Linked DNA regions of Lonchura striata. The protein of the gene in region 1 interacts with the protein of each later gene in a pairwise test. Links are inferred from orthologs where the notes say so. Each region holds a gene or a part of one and is shown in the gene's direction. Other genes may lie near its edges.

Region 1 (7,486 bases):
AGACACAGGGACACACGGACACAGGGACACATGAACACAGGGACACACGGACACAGGGACACATGGATACGGGGACACACGGACACATGGACATGGGGGACACACGGACACATGGACACAGGGACACATGGACACAGGGACACATGGACACAGAGACACACGGACACGGGGATACACGGACACATGGACACAGGGACATGGGGGACACACGGACACGGGGACAGGGGGACACATGGGCACACGGACACACAGTCATGGGGACACACAGACACGGGGACACACAGCCATGGGGACACACGGACACACGTACACGGGGACACACGGACACACGGACACACGGACACACGGACGCGGGGACAGCCGGTGTCCGCAGCCCGCGCCCCCGCTCCCCCCGGTCCCCCGCAGCCGCCGCAGCTCCGCGGCCCCGCCCGCCGCCGGTCACGCAACCTCCCCGCACCCCCCGCACCCCCACCCTGCCCGGGCCCGCACCCCGCACCCACCGCCCCCACCCGCAGCCCCCATCCCACCCGCACCCACCCGCAGCCCCCATCCCACCCGCACCCACCGCCCCCACCCGCACCGCCACCCCCGCGACTCCCCCCGCGCCCGCAACCTCCTGCCCCGCATTGCGCCGGCACAGCCGCACCGCGCCGGCCCCGGCCAGGGACCCCCACCCAGGGACCCCACCCAGGGACCCCACCCAGGGACCCCATCCACGGACCCCATCCACGGACCTCACCCACGGACCCCCCATCCCATGGAATCCCCCCCACCCACGGACCCCATCCACGGACCCCATCCACGGACCCCATCCACGGACCCCATCCACGGACACCACCCTCGGACCCCCACCCACGGACCCCCCCTCCCATGGAATCCCCCCCATCCACCGACCCCCATCCACGGACCCCCACCTACGGACCCCATCCACGGACCCCACCCACGGACCCCATCCACGGACCCCATCCACGGACCTCACCCACGGACCCCACCCACGGACCCCATCCACGGACCCCATCCACGGACCCCACCCAGGCACCCCACCCACGGACCCCACCCACGGACCCCCCCACCCACGGCCCCCTCCCCACGCCCGCAGACCCCCCCGGGGACCATCGCTTCCCCCCGACGCCCCCTCCGGGCGAGGGGGGGGCGTTATGGGGAGGCGGGGAGGGGGTGGCAATATTTTGGGGGCCTCAGCCGCCCCCCGGATGAGCCCCTAACAAAGGGCGGGGCCGCAGCGCCGGGGGAGGGGGGGATCTGCGGCACCCCCCCACCCCCCCGGCTGCTTTGGGGGCCGATCGTGCCCCCCCGGCGGGGTCAGGGCGTTTCTGCTCAGTGTAAACATCCCCCCCCCGGCACTGGGCAAACTGGGAGTGCCCGAGCCTCGGAAATGGGGGGAGGGTCCCGGGGGGCAGCGGCCGCACCCAGAGCAGGGTCTGCCCCCCAAGTGACAACGCCCCCGCTGCGGGGACCCCCTCCCGAAGTGGGGGTGCCGCCCCCCCCCACCCTGGGGGTCCCCCCGCTCTGACTCACCCCCACCACGACGCTGTCGTCCCCCTGGAACACGGGCAGGAACTTGTCCCCCCGCAGGATCTCGGCCTGGTTGAGGGGCCGGAACCGGCACAGGACCTTGATGCTGCACTCGGAGCTGAGCTCGGCCATGGCGGGGGTCGGGGGGCGGCGAGACGGGGGCGGGCAAGGCAGCGGGGGTGTCACAGCCTAAGGCTCCGGCGGCACCGGGGCGCAGGAGGGTACCCGGGGATGCCCGGCGGTACCCGAGGGTGCAGGATGCAGCTCAGGGACGCGGGATGCTGCCCAAAGATGCAGGGGGGTGCCCAGGTGGTGCCCAGGGATGCAGGATGCTGCTCAGGGATGCAGGATGCTGCCCAAAGATGCAGGATGCTGCTCAGGGACGCAGGATGCTGCCCAAAGATGCAGGATGCTGCTCAGGGATGCAGGATGCTGCTCAGGGACGCAGGATGCTGCCCGGGCGGTACCCAAGGACTCGGAATGCTGCCCGGGATGCAGGATGCTGCTCAGCACTGCAGGGTGGTACCCAGGGCTGCGGGTGGTACCCAGGGATGCAGGATGCGCTGCGGGATGCAGGATGCGGCTTGCGGGCTGCAGGATGCGGGAGGCGGCGCCGGGCGGGGCTGACGCTCCGCAGCTGCCGCTGTCGCCGCTCCTGTGACCGCCGCTGTCGCCACTGCAGCCCCGGGACCGGCGGGCGGGGGGGCCGCCCCCCGCGCCCCCTCCCCCGCCTTAAGGTGGAGCCGCCCGCGGCTCTTAAGGTGGACGGAACTGGAAGGGGGGGACGCAGCCCCGGGGATGGACCCCCCCAAAATGCTGATTCACGGCTGGAGGAGCGGGACGGGCCGGGGAACGGGACCGGGGCGCGGCTGGGGAGGGGGGAGCAGGGCCAGCCTCCCCCCGCCGCCCTGCCCGGTGTCCCCCCCGCGGGAAGGCGGCGGTCCTGACTCATCCCCCCGGCCTGGAGATCCCCCGCCCCTCCGTGAGACCCCCCAAACACGCCGGGGGGCGGCCCGGAGCTGACCCCGGGGGTCTCCCGCGGGTGAGAAGTGCAGCCTCACCATGGGATGCAGCCCTGGACACACCCATGGGTGCCCACCCACCTGCGTGGCCGCAGTGCCACCCAGCCTGTGCTTGCCCCCACTGATGGGGGACACCCATGAGCCTGCCCCGGGTGTCCCCCCGGGTCCCCACCGTGTCCCCCACCCTGCGCTCTGCCGTGTGCCCCTCATGTGTCCTCCCGTGTGTCCCCCTGGCGTGCGCCCACTGCGTGCCCCTGTGCCCCCCGTGTTTCCCCCTGTGTCCCCCCGTGTCCCTTCATGTGTCCCCACATCTGAACCCCGTGTCCCCCCGCGTGCTCCGCGTGTGCCCCCCCATGTGTGTCCCCGCGCGTGTCCTCGTGTGCCCCCACCCGTGTGCCCCCCTCTGTGTCGCCCCCTGTGTCTCCCCCCGTTCCCCGCCCCTTGTTCACCCCCGGTGTGTCCCCCTCGTACCCCCGTGCCCCGTCCGTGGCCGTGTGCCCCCTGTCCCACACCACTGTCCTCCTCCGTGTCCGTGTGTCCCCATTGTCCCCCCCATCGTCCCCCCCACTGTCCCCCCAATTGTCCTCCCAGTTGTCCCTCCAATTGTCCCCTCCACTGTCCCCCCAGTTGTCCCCTCCACTGTCCCCCCCATCGTCCCCCCCACTGTCCCCCCAATTGTCCTCCCAGTTGTCCCTCCAATTGTCCCCTCCACTGTCCCCCCAGTTGTCCCCTCCACTGTCCCCCCCATCGTCCCCCCCACTGTCCCCCCATCGTCCCCCAGTTGTCCCCCCAACTGTCCCCCCAATTGTCCTCCCAGTTGTCCCCCCCATCGTCCCCCCCCACTGTCCCCCCAGTTGTCCCCCTAATTGTCCCCCCATTGTCCCCCCCACTGTCCCCCCTCCATGTCCCCCCCACTGTCTCCCTAATTGTCCCCCCCCACTGTCCCCCCAGTTGTTCCCCCAGTTGTCCCCCCCACTGTCCCCCCCACTGTCCCCCCCACTGTCCCCCCAGTTGTCCCCCCCATCGTCCCCCCCATCGTCCCCCCCACTGTCCCCCCAGTTGTTCCCCCAGTTGTCCCCCCACTGTCCTCCCCCAATTGTCCTCCCAGTTGTCCCCCCCACTGTCCCACCCCACTGTCCCCCCCACTGTCTCCCCAATTGTCCCCCCCCACTGTCCCCCCAGTTGTTCCCCCAGTTGTCCCCCCCACTGTCCCCCCCCACTGTCCCCCCCACTGTCTCCCCAATTGTCCCCCCCCAATGTCCCCCCCACTGTCCCCCCAGTTGTCCCCCTAATTGTCCCCCCACTGTCCCCCCACTGTCCCCCCAATTGTCCCCCCACTGTCCCCCCAGTTGTCCCCCTAATTGTCCCCCCACTGTCCCCCCAATTGTCCCCCCACTGTCCCCCCAATTGTCCCCCCATTGTCCCCCAGTGCCGCCCCCGCCCCGTCTGCTCGTTCAGGCCCCGCCCCCGCCTCAGCCAGGCCCCGCCCACCTCTCCAGGCCCCGCCCACCCGCCCGGCCCCGCCCCTGCGCTCTCGCCTCTCGCACCGCCCCGCGCGGCTCTCGCGAGACCAGCCCCGCCCCGGCCCTGCGCGGCCATTCCGGGACCCGGCACCGGCCCCGGTACCGACCCCCGGTACCGACCCCCGCAACCGGCCCCGGCACCGGCCCCGGCACCGACCCCCGGTACCGACCCCCGCAACCGGCCCCGGTTCCGACCCCCGGCACCGACCCCCGCAACCGGCCCCGGTTCCGACCCCCAGCACCGACCCCCGGCACCGACCCCCGGTACCGACCCCCGGCACCGACCCCCGGCACCGACCCCCGGTACCCACCCCCGCAACCGGCACCGGCCCCGGTACCGACCCCCGGTACCGACCCCCGCAACCGGCCCCCGGTACCAACCCCCGGTACCGCCCCCACCATGGCCGACCCCAAGTACGCCGACCTGCCCGGCATCGTGAGTGAGGGGCCGGGCCGGGAGGAGCCGGGGCTGTGAGCGGGTGTAGCAGGGGTCGGGGGCTCTGAGGGGATCGGGGGGATCAGAGGGGGCCGGGGGTGCTGAGGGCCCTGAGGGGATCGGGGGAGTCAAGCGGGATAAGCCCTGGGGGACAATGAGGGAACTGCGGGGATCTGGGGTCTGAGGGGGATCTTAGGGGCCCGAGGGGATCTGAGGGGGATCTGGGGGTCTGAGGGGGATCTGGGGATCTGAGGGGGATCTGGGGGTCTGAGGGGGATCTGGGGATCTGAGGGGGATCTGGGGGTCTGAGGGGGATCTGGGGGTCTGAGGGGGATCTGGGGATCTGAGGGGGATCTGGGGGTCTGAGGGGCCCAGAGGGTCTGAGGGGGCCAGAGGGTCTGAGGGGGATCTGGGGGTCTGAGGGGGATCTTAGGGGCCAGAGGGTCTGAGGGGGATCTGGAGGTCTGAGGGGTATTTGGGGATCTGAGGGGGATCTGGGGGTCTGAGGGGGCGGGGGGGTCTGAAGGGGCCAGAGGGTCTGAGGGGGATCTTAGGGGCCCGAGGGGATCTGAGGGGGATCTGGAGGTCTGAGGGGTATTTGGGGATCTGAGGGGGTTCTGGGGGTCTGAGGGGGATCTGGGGGTCTGAGGGGGCCGGGGGGTCTCGGAATTGGAGGGGACCGGTGGGACATGGAGGGACTGGGGAGGTGGGAGAAGGGCGGCTCGGAGAGGGTCCGAGGGTCAGAGCGGGTCAGGGGGATCTGGGGGTGCTGCGGGGTGTCTCAGGGCTCTGGGGGGACCCGGGGAATCAGGGGTCCTGAGGTGGGCTGAGGGGGCTGAGGGACTGCAGGGATCAAGTCAAATTTGGGGGGTCTGAGCTTGGAATGACTGACAGGGTCTGGGGGCCAGGGGGATTTGGGAAATCTGAGGGGTGGTAGGTCTGGAGAAGATCTGGAGGTGAGCTGAGGGGTCCGTGGGGTGGGGGGTTGGCAGTGTTTGGGGTGTAGGAATGGGAGGGGGCTGGGGCTGGGGAGGGCTTGGGGTGCCAGGAAGGGCACCTGTCTGTCTGTCTGTGGGTCTGTCCGTGGGGTGAGCCCGGATCCCTGGGGCGTGGGAGCACCCCGTGCGTTTGGGGTGACGGTGGGAACTGGGACGTGGTGCTGGGGGGAGATCAGGGGACGGGGGCAGTGAGTCGGGGTGTTGGGGGGACACTGGGGTGTTTGAAGTGCTTTTGGGGGAGCGGGGCAGTCAGCACGGGGTGTGGGGACACTGGGATGTCCAGAGGGACATGTGGCACATCAGGGATGAGGTGTGGGGGTCCCAGCACGGTCCTGGTGCCGCAGGCCCGGAACGAGCCCGACGTGTACGAGACCAGTGACCTGCCTGAGGATGACCAGGCCGAGTTCGAGGCGGTAAGGCCCGGCCCGTGGGGGGAGCAGCAGCTGCACCGGACCCCCGGGACCCCCGGGACCCCCAGCACTGGCACCGTGACAGGGAACCAGCCCCCCATGCACCCGGCAGCACCGCATTGTGCACAGCGACACGTCACCCCACAGTGACAGTGTCCTCACAGTCCCAATGTCCTCCACAGTGACAGTGTCCACCCAGTCCCAATGTCCTCCACAGTGACAGTGTGTCCCCACAGTGACATTTTCCTCCACAATGACAGTGTCCCCCACAGTGACAGTGTGTCACCTCACAGTGACATTTTTCCCACAGTTACAGTGTTCACCCAGTCCCAATGTCCCCCACAGTGCCAGTGTCCCCACAGAGACAGTGTCCCCACAGTCCCAATGTCCCCCATGGTGACAGTGTCCCCACAGTGACATTTTTCCCCACAGTGGCAGTGTCCCCCCACAGTGCCAGTGTGCCCCACGGTGACAGTGTCCCCACAGTGCCAGTGTGCCCCACAGTGACAGTGTCCCCACGGTGACAGTGTCCCCACAGTGACAGTGTGCCCCACAGTGGCAGTGTCCCCCCACAGTGCCAGTGTGCCCCACAGTGACAGTGTCCCCCACAGTGTCAGTGTGCCCCACAGTGACAGTGTCCCTACGGTGACAGTGTCCCCCACAGTGACAGTGTCCCCACAGTGACAGTGTCCCCACAGTGACATTTTTCCCCACAGTGACAGTGTCCCCCACAGTGACATTTTCCTCCACAGTGACAGTGTCCCCCACAGTGACAGTGTCCCCACAGTGACATTTTTCCCCACAGTGACAGTGTCCCCCACAGTGACAGTGTCCTCCACAGTGACAGTGTCCCCCCACAGTGACATTTTTCCCCACAGTGACAGTGTCCCCCACAGTGACAGTGTCCCCACAGTGACATTTTTCCCCACAGTGACAGTGTCCCCCACAGTGACATTTTCCTCCACAGTGACAGTGTCCCCACAGTGACATTTTCCTCCACAGTGACAGTGTCCCCACAGTGACAGTGTCCCCACAGTGACAGTGTCCCCCACAGTGGCAGTGTCCCCACAGTGACAGTGTGCCCCACGGTGACAGTGTGCCCCACGGTGACAGTGTCCCCCACAGTGACATTTTCCTCCACAGTGACAGTGTCCCCACGGTGACAGTGTCCCCCACGGTGACAGTGTCCCCCACAGTGACATTTTCCTCCACAGTCCCAATGTCCCCCACAGTGACAGTGTCCCCCACGGTGACAGTGTCCCCCACAGTGACATTTTCCTCCACAGTCCCAATGTCCCCCACAGTGACAGTGTCCCCACAGTGACAGTGTCCCCCACAGTGACATTTTCCTTCACAGTGACAATGTCCCCACAGTGGCAGTGTGCCCCACGGTGACAGTGTCCCCCCATGATGACAATGTTCCCTGCAGTGTAGCCCCCCCACCCCCTGTGGCACCCTGCCTGTGCTTTGGGGCAGGAAGGGGAGAGCAGGACCCGGCTGGGGGTCCCTGTCCTTGCTGTCCTTGTCCCCAAGAGGAACTGAGCTGCCGGTTCCCCAGCCCCAC
Region 2 (6,758 bases), on another chromosome or scaffold:
ACGTGGAAGCGCCACTGGTGCGCTGCTTTATGGCCCCACGCTGCCAAGAAATGGAAAAAGTTTGTTTTCACTTCAGCGCGGCTCTCTCTGTCCCCGGGCTGGACTTCGCCCGGCGCTGCCCGGCCGGGTGGTTCCCACCCGGGCTGCCACGCGTGCCCGGCATGGCCAGGCTGGGAAAAACGCCTGATTCTGCAGGGAGAAGGGGTGGAGGGTGCATGCAGGGCAGAGGGAACGTCCCTGCCAGGAGCAGCACAGCCTTCTGCTGCCCTGAACCCACAGGCACGAGGAGCTGAGCAGGGACTTGCTGGGCTGGGGAAGGAAAAGATATTCCAGCAGGAAGTCTCCTTCAGCAGAAGGAAAAGACATTTCAGATATTTACCCAGGGTGGTGGGACATGGGTGAGCCATGAAATCACAGAATCCTGGGGTGGTTTGGGCTGAAAGGGACCTTAGACCTCCTCCAGTCCCACTCCCTTGGGGAGCAGGCAGGGACACCTTCCCCTGTCCCAGGCTGCTCCAAGCCCTGTCCAAGCTGGCTTCGAGCACTTCCAGGAACGGAGCAGCCACAGCTGCCAGGGTCTCACCACCCTCCCGGCCAAGAATTTCCTCCTGATCTCCAATCTCCATCTCCTCTCCTTCAGTTTAAAGCCACTGGAGCACTCCCAGGCTCCCACTCGTGCTCGCTGTTTGCAGAGCTCCTGCCGCAGCCAGGGAGAGCCGGCTCCCTCTCGGCGACCTTCCAGCACCACGGCGGGCTGCAGGAATGTGCTGAGTGCGGGATAAACACATCCCAGATCCCCGGCGCCCCAGCCCCCTGCCCTCCCACCTCTGCGGGAGCTGAGCCCCGCTCAGGAGCCCGCAAAGGGGCTGGGGCCAGGCAGGAGGAGAATGCCCGTGCCGGGGAGCTGCCAGCCCTGCTCCGTGCCGGGGAGCTGCCAGCCCTGCTCCGTGCTGGGGAAGTGCCAGCCCTGCTCCGTGCCGGGGAGGTGCCAGCCCTGCTCCGTGCCAGGGAGGTGCCAGCCCTGCTCCGTGCCGGGGAACTGCCAGCCCTGCTCCGTGCTGGGGAAGTGCCAGTCCTGCTCCGTGCCGGGGAAGTGCCAGTCCTGCTCCGTGCCAGGGAAGTGCCAGCCCTGCTCCGTGCCGGGGAAGTGCCAGCCCTGCTCCGTGCCGGGGAAGTGCCAGCCCTGCTCCGTGCCGGGGAGCTGCCAGCCCTGCTCCGTGCTGGGGAAGTGCCAGTCCTGCTCCGTGCCGGGGAGGTGCCAGCCCTGCTCCGTGCCACCGAGCCGGGCTCTCGGCTGCACTCCCATGACCTGGGTGGTTGAGAAAGCTGCCGGCACCGTGCCCAGCTCCAGAGCCAAGGCCAGGCGGGCCCGGGCTTCCCTTCCCGCTGTGCCGTGAGCTCCCGGGCTGCCCAAAGCCAAACCCCGAGCAGCAGCAGGGGTGGCTGCAGCTGAACCCCGCTTTGAGCTCCAGCAGGGGTGGGGGGACTCCCAGGAAAACGGGGGGAATGTCTTCTTGTCCTTGTGCTGCCGGTGCTGGAGAGGATGTGGCACTGATGGTGCCAGGGCGGGTGGATCCTGGGGCACTCCCAGGCTCCTGCCCTGCTCCACGGGGAGGCCAAGCCGAGGTTCCCTGGCTGCCAGAGCCCGGGGATCCGCTCCTGCACGGCTCCGGGGCGGGATGCCCCGCTCTGGGAAGGTGGATGTGCCTGGGCACCGCAGGTCAGCTCGGTGACACGGAACTGGTGGCACCGGGGACACGGCGGCTCCCGGAGCAGAGGCCGTCCCTGGAATGTGCAAGCTGGCGTTTGCTCTGCATCCAGCGGATCCAGAGGCACTGGGAACGCTCGGTGGCCCTGGCACAGCAGCCTGGGGTGCCCAGGGGTGTCCCAGCAAACGGGCACAGCGAGATTTCCCACAGCAGCCAAGGGGCTGGACAAAGGTCCCACCTGGGACAGGACAAAGCAGGGAAACGAGGGAGGGGGATCGGGGGCACCCCAAGGAGGGACAGCAGGAGCCAAGGGAACGGGAGCAGCATCCCGGCACTGTTCCAGGGGCTCAGGGCCGGGACCACCCCGAGGCACCCCCGGGAAGGGCCTGGCCGGCTGCCGGGGCTCCGGAGGGATGGGGCTCTGTCACCTCTCACTGCCGCTGTTTGACGGCTGGTCTCCTTCCCAAAATCTGAAATTAAACAAGCTGATGCTCTGAGGTGCGGGAAGCGCCTCTGCAGCTGGTCCAGACGTCCTCCCCCACCGGGGGCTCCAGTGGGCATCTCCCACATCCCTGGGGTTAACCCATTGCTGTCCAAGCCGCCTCCGAGCTCGGGCAGCTCAGCCCCGCAGCCCAGAGAACATTCGGGGTGAGGCTCTGCCGAGTGGGGGGAAGAGCTGAGCCCCTCGGCGGAGCCTGAGCCCCACACGGCTCCCGACCCCCGACTCTGCCACGCCGAAGGAGGGGAGGGCAGGCCCGGCCTAGAGAATGATGAAAGTCGGGATTAAAGGGCAGGGGGGGAGACAAACACCGCGGCCGCTTTTGGCAGGCGATGAAAGGAGGTTCAGCAGCAGCTGCCAGCTGGGAGCTGACGGAGGGACAACAGCTCCATCCCGGGCTGCCCGGGCCGGCGGCCACGGCACATCCCGGCACGGCCAGCGCTGTCCCCGCGCACCCCGCAGCCCGCATCCCGCATCCTCGGGAAACGGGAGAACGGGAGACGGCGGGAGAGCCGCGGGGCCAGCGCGGGTTCAGAGCGCTGCCCGCCGCCCCCGGGAGGGGAAAAGAGCCTTCAGCTGCTTCCCAGCTGCCTCCCAGACAGATTTAGCTCTGGGGCCGGCACAGATGGGGCTGCGGAGGCACAGGCGGAGCCCGCAGTTGCTAATAGAGATACAGCAAATTAAGCGCACTTAATTCGGAGGGTCACCGCACAATGCTCCCACCTGTTTTGCTGCGGTCCGGCCATCTGCCGCCCCTCCACCTGATGCAAAAAGGGCTTTTCTCCCTTTCCCCCACACCGGCTCTCACCAGGCTGCGGCAGCAGGGCAGGGTAGAGCCGGGCCGGGGGGACAGAACAAAGCCCTGGGAGGTTTTCCTCCCGGAGCCAGCACAGCCGGGGGGCGCAGAAATCACCCTCATTATTCTGCTGCAGAAACGCTTTGATATGCCCCTGAAGTGTTCCAGATTGGGCAGGACTTGGAGCAAGATGGGGGGGTGGAACAAAACCATCCCTGGGGTTCCTTCCAGCCCAAACCACTCCAGGATTCTGTGATACCTCATTTCCCAGAGGGGGATTCTGTGATATCTCATTTCCCTCAGGGGTTCTGCAGGAGCTGCATGGATCTGGCATCGCTCTGCACCTTGTGCTGTGGAAACGGCTCCTGGAGCTCAGGAGCTGCAGGAAAACACCGGCACAAGCCAAACTTTAAAGCACACGCTGCCAAATCTCCGTAAGGGACCACCAAGGGTCCTGACTGCAGCCGTGGGGCCGGTGGGAATGTGCCAGCCCACAGCCAGGTTGGGAAAGAGCTCTGGCAGCGGCTGTGGGAGGATGGAGGGGTTTGGGTGCAGCAGCTGAGAAAGCTTTGACACAGCAGCCACCAGGAGAAATCCTGCCCGGAGGTCTCGGGGCTGACACGGGACATCTGGAGCAGGAGCAGCTTCCCGGACAAGCACCAAGTTCTTGGAAAGCTGCAAAGGGAGAGATCGCAGAACCACAGGCTGGGTTGGGTTGGGAGAGATCTTAAAGATCACCCAGTGCCACCCCTGCCGTGGCAGGGACACCTCCCACTGTCCCAGGCTGCTCCAGCCTGTCCAGCCTGGCCTGGGCACTGCCAGGGATCCAGGGGCAGCAGCGTGGCTGCCTGTGGCAAACACAGAAGGAGAAGGATCCAGGGAGAGCTCAGAGCCCCTGGGAATGTTCCCCTGGAGAGGAGAAGGATCCAGGGAGAGCTCAGAGCCCCTGGGAATGTTCCCCTGGAGAGGAGAAGGATCCAGGGAGAGCTCAGAGCCCCTGGGAATGTTCCCCTGGAGAGGAGAAGGATCCAGGGAGAGCTCAGAGCCCCTGGGAATGTTCCCCTGGAGAGGAGAAGGATCCAGGGAGAGCTCAGAGCCCCTGGGAATGTTCCCCTGGAGAGGAGAAGGATCCAGGGAGAGCTCAGAGCCCCTGGGAATGTTCCCCTGGAGAGGAGAAGGATCCAGGGAGAGCTCAGATCCCGTTCCCATTCCCGATCCTGTTCCCGTTCCCATTCCCGATCCCGATCTCATTCCCATTCCCGTTCCCATTCCCGATCCCGGCCAGGCCCGGCCGGACCCGGCACGCAATGGGCGTGGTCTAATTTGCATGAACCAATGGGCGCTGGTTATGCAAACGAAGGGGCGGGGCCGGGCGCCGGGCGGGGCGGCGCGCGCGGGGCGCCTTTGTCCGGCACGGGCGGCGGGGCCGGAGCGGCCGCAGCGGCCGGAGCGCGGTGTCCGCCAGCCCCTGTCCACCCCAGCCCCTGTCCACCCCAGCCCCTGTCCACCCCAGCCCCTGGCCGCCCCAGCCCCGTGATGACCCTGGAGGAGCTGCCCGGGGAGCGCCGCGCCGCCGGGAGGTGAGGCCGGGGGGCGGCGGGGGCCGGGCGGGGAGCGGCGCGGGGTGGCCGGTGACGGCCGGTGCCGCGTGTCCCGGCGCAGGATGGAGCAGGCGGGGGACGCGCTCGAGGAGGTGCTGAGCAAGGCGCTGAGCCAGCGGAGCCTGACCCTCGGCGTCTACGAGGCGGCCAAGCTGCTCAACGTGTGAGTGCCCCCCCCGTCCCCGTCCTCCCCCCGGTGCGCCCTGCCCGGTGCGCCCGCGGTGACGGCGCTGCCCCGCAGGGACCCCGATAACGTGGTGCTGTGCCTGCTGGCGGCCGAGGAGGAGGAGGCGGGGGACGCGGCGCTGCAGATCCACTTCACGCTGCTGCGGGCCTTCTGCTGCGAGAACGACATCAACATCCTGCGCGTCAGCAACCCGGCGCGCCTGGCCGAGCTGCTGCTGCCCGCCGCGGGCCCCGACCCGCCCGCCGACCTGCACTGCGTGCTCGTCACGGTGAGCCCGGGCTGCCCCCGCGGGCTCCCCGCCGCCGCTCGGGACCCCCGAGCCGCCGCGCCCGGGGCTCGAACCCGCGGCCCCGGGGCGGCGCGGGGTCCCGCGGTGCCTCCGCCGCCCTCGCCCCCGTTCGCCGCTGTGCCCCGGCTCCTCCTTTGTTCCTCGCCTCTTTCCCCTGTTCCGTCTTTTCTTTCCTTTGCTTTCCTCCTTTCCCTCTTTATTTTTCCCTTTTTCTTTCCCTCCCTTCCCCCACTTTTATCTCTCCCTCCTGGTTTTTTCTCCCTCCCCCCTTCCCTCCTCTGCCCCAGAGTCCAAAGCTAAAGCTCCTGACGCGCTCCCAGGCCCGACTTGTTTGTTTGCCTCGCCAGCAATTTGAGATGATTCACACTCCTGCGCTTCCCCCCCAGCCCCCGCCCGCCGCTCTGGGCTTGTTTTTGCTGCCGTGCCGGAGCTTTGTTTTTTTTTTTAATTTGTTTTTTTGCCGTCCCCTTTGCAGAACCCGCAGGCGTCGCAGTGGAAGGACCCGGCGCTGAGCCAGCTGATGTGTTTCTGCCGGGAGAGCCGGTACCTGGACCAGTGGGTGCCGGTCATCAACCTCCCGGAGCGGTGACCCCGGCCCGGCCGCTGCGGCGCCGCAGAAATTCTCGCTCAGGAAGGAACTCCCTGCCCCCGGCTCCGGGAGGGAAAATAAAAACCCGACAGCAACAACGAAACGTAGATGTAAAACAATAACGCTAAAACTGATGTCACTTGCGGGGGGTTTGGCTGCGGTGGAGCGATGCCGAGTGTGGCAGATGAGGAGAACAGGATGAGCCCAGCCCCAACTCCCCTCGCTCCCTCTGTCCTTAAGTGCCACTTCAAGTTCCTGCTTTGAACGCCTTGACGAGCAAACAGGTTCATCGAGGCCTTTTGCCAGCAATGTTGTTGTACTTTTGGGATGTAATTCTCACGTTTTTATGCTAAGATATATAATAATAATAATAATAAGTTATTTTCTGATATCAATGGAAAAAAAATTATTTATACTTGGTGGTTTGAGAACCGAAATGCCCTCAAGCAGTTGGTCTGCAACCATGAATCTTCTCCCAGTTGGCTGCAAAAGCAGCGCCATTAATATAATTGTTTGAAATTCGAGTGTATTTTTGGGGTTATGGTGGTCTTGTTTTGTGTTTTCTTTTTTTTTTTTTTTGAAATAAAGTGTAAAAATCAAACCTTTGGCCCAGGCTTTTATTCCCTCACTGCACGAGGCTGAGCAGTGAGCAGCAGCTGCTTCCTCCTGGCCATGGGCAAGGTCCTGTTGTGCAGCTCCAGTGTGGGTTCATTCCCGGCCCCTCCCAAGCAATTAAAGGCTGAAGCAGCCCGTGTGCTGCAGGAAATGTTGGGAATGTTGTTTATTTATTTATTTAATTTGCTTGAATGCTGCTGCAACAGGCACTAAAAAAAAACCAAAAAAACAAACAAAAAAAATGGAAAAAAAAAAAACAAAAAAACAAAAAAGGGTTTTGCTGATGGGGTTTCCAGCTCCTCCTTGGCAGGTGGAAATCCTGATTCCCTGCTGGAGCAAAACCTGGCCCAGGGTTTCCTGGAGGCCGGGAGGGGAGGCTGGACCTGTTCTCCCACTCCTGGGATGCTCCAGCACCAGGCCACCCTGTCCCTGTCCCCAGCCCAGGTCCCACCCTGTGCCTGGGGCCACTGCAG

The links.
Region 2: the proteins of DCTN2 (region 1) and GADD45A interact in binary tests that used the Homo sapiens proteins (3 or more experiments, as listed by UniProt). The link is inferred for Lonchura striata from reciprocal best matches to the Homo sapiens genes DCTN2 and GADD45A.

Annotation. Positions count from the first base shown.
Region 1 is NC_134629.1:5,205,878-5,213,363, forward strand, and holds the start of DCTN2 (dynactin subunit 2), read left to right. Parts: upstream 1-4,428; 5' UTR 4,429-4,478; coding exon 4,479-4,514; intron 4,515-5,856; coding exon 5,857-5,925; intron 5,926-7,486. Other genes in the region: kinesin heavy chain, read right to left, coding at 1,537-1,665. UniProt on the Homo sapiens protein: Part of the dynactin complex that activates the molecular motor dynein for ultra-processive transport along microtubules. In the dynactin soulder domain, binds the ACTR1A filament and acts as a molecular ruler to determine the length.
Region 2 is NC_134611.1:5,083,202-5,089,959, reverse strand, and holds GADD45A (growth arrest and DNA damage-inducible protein GADD45 alpha), read left to right. Parts: upstream 1-4,487; 5' UTR 4,488-4,540; coding exon 4,541-4,584; intron 4,585-4,666; coding exon 4,667-4,768; intron 4,769-4,846; coding exon 4,847-5,060; intron 5,061-5,556; coding exon 5,557-5,670; 3' UTR 5,671-6,061; downstream 6,062-6,758. UniProt on the Homo sapiens protein: In T-cells, functions as a regulator of p38 MAPKs by inhibiting p88 phosphorylation and activity.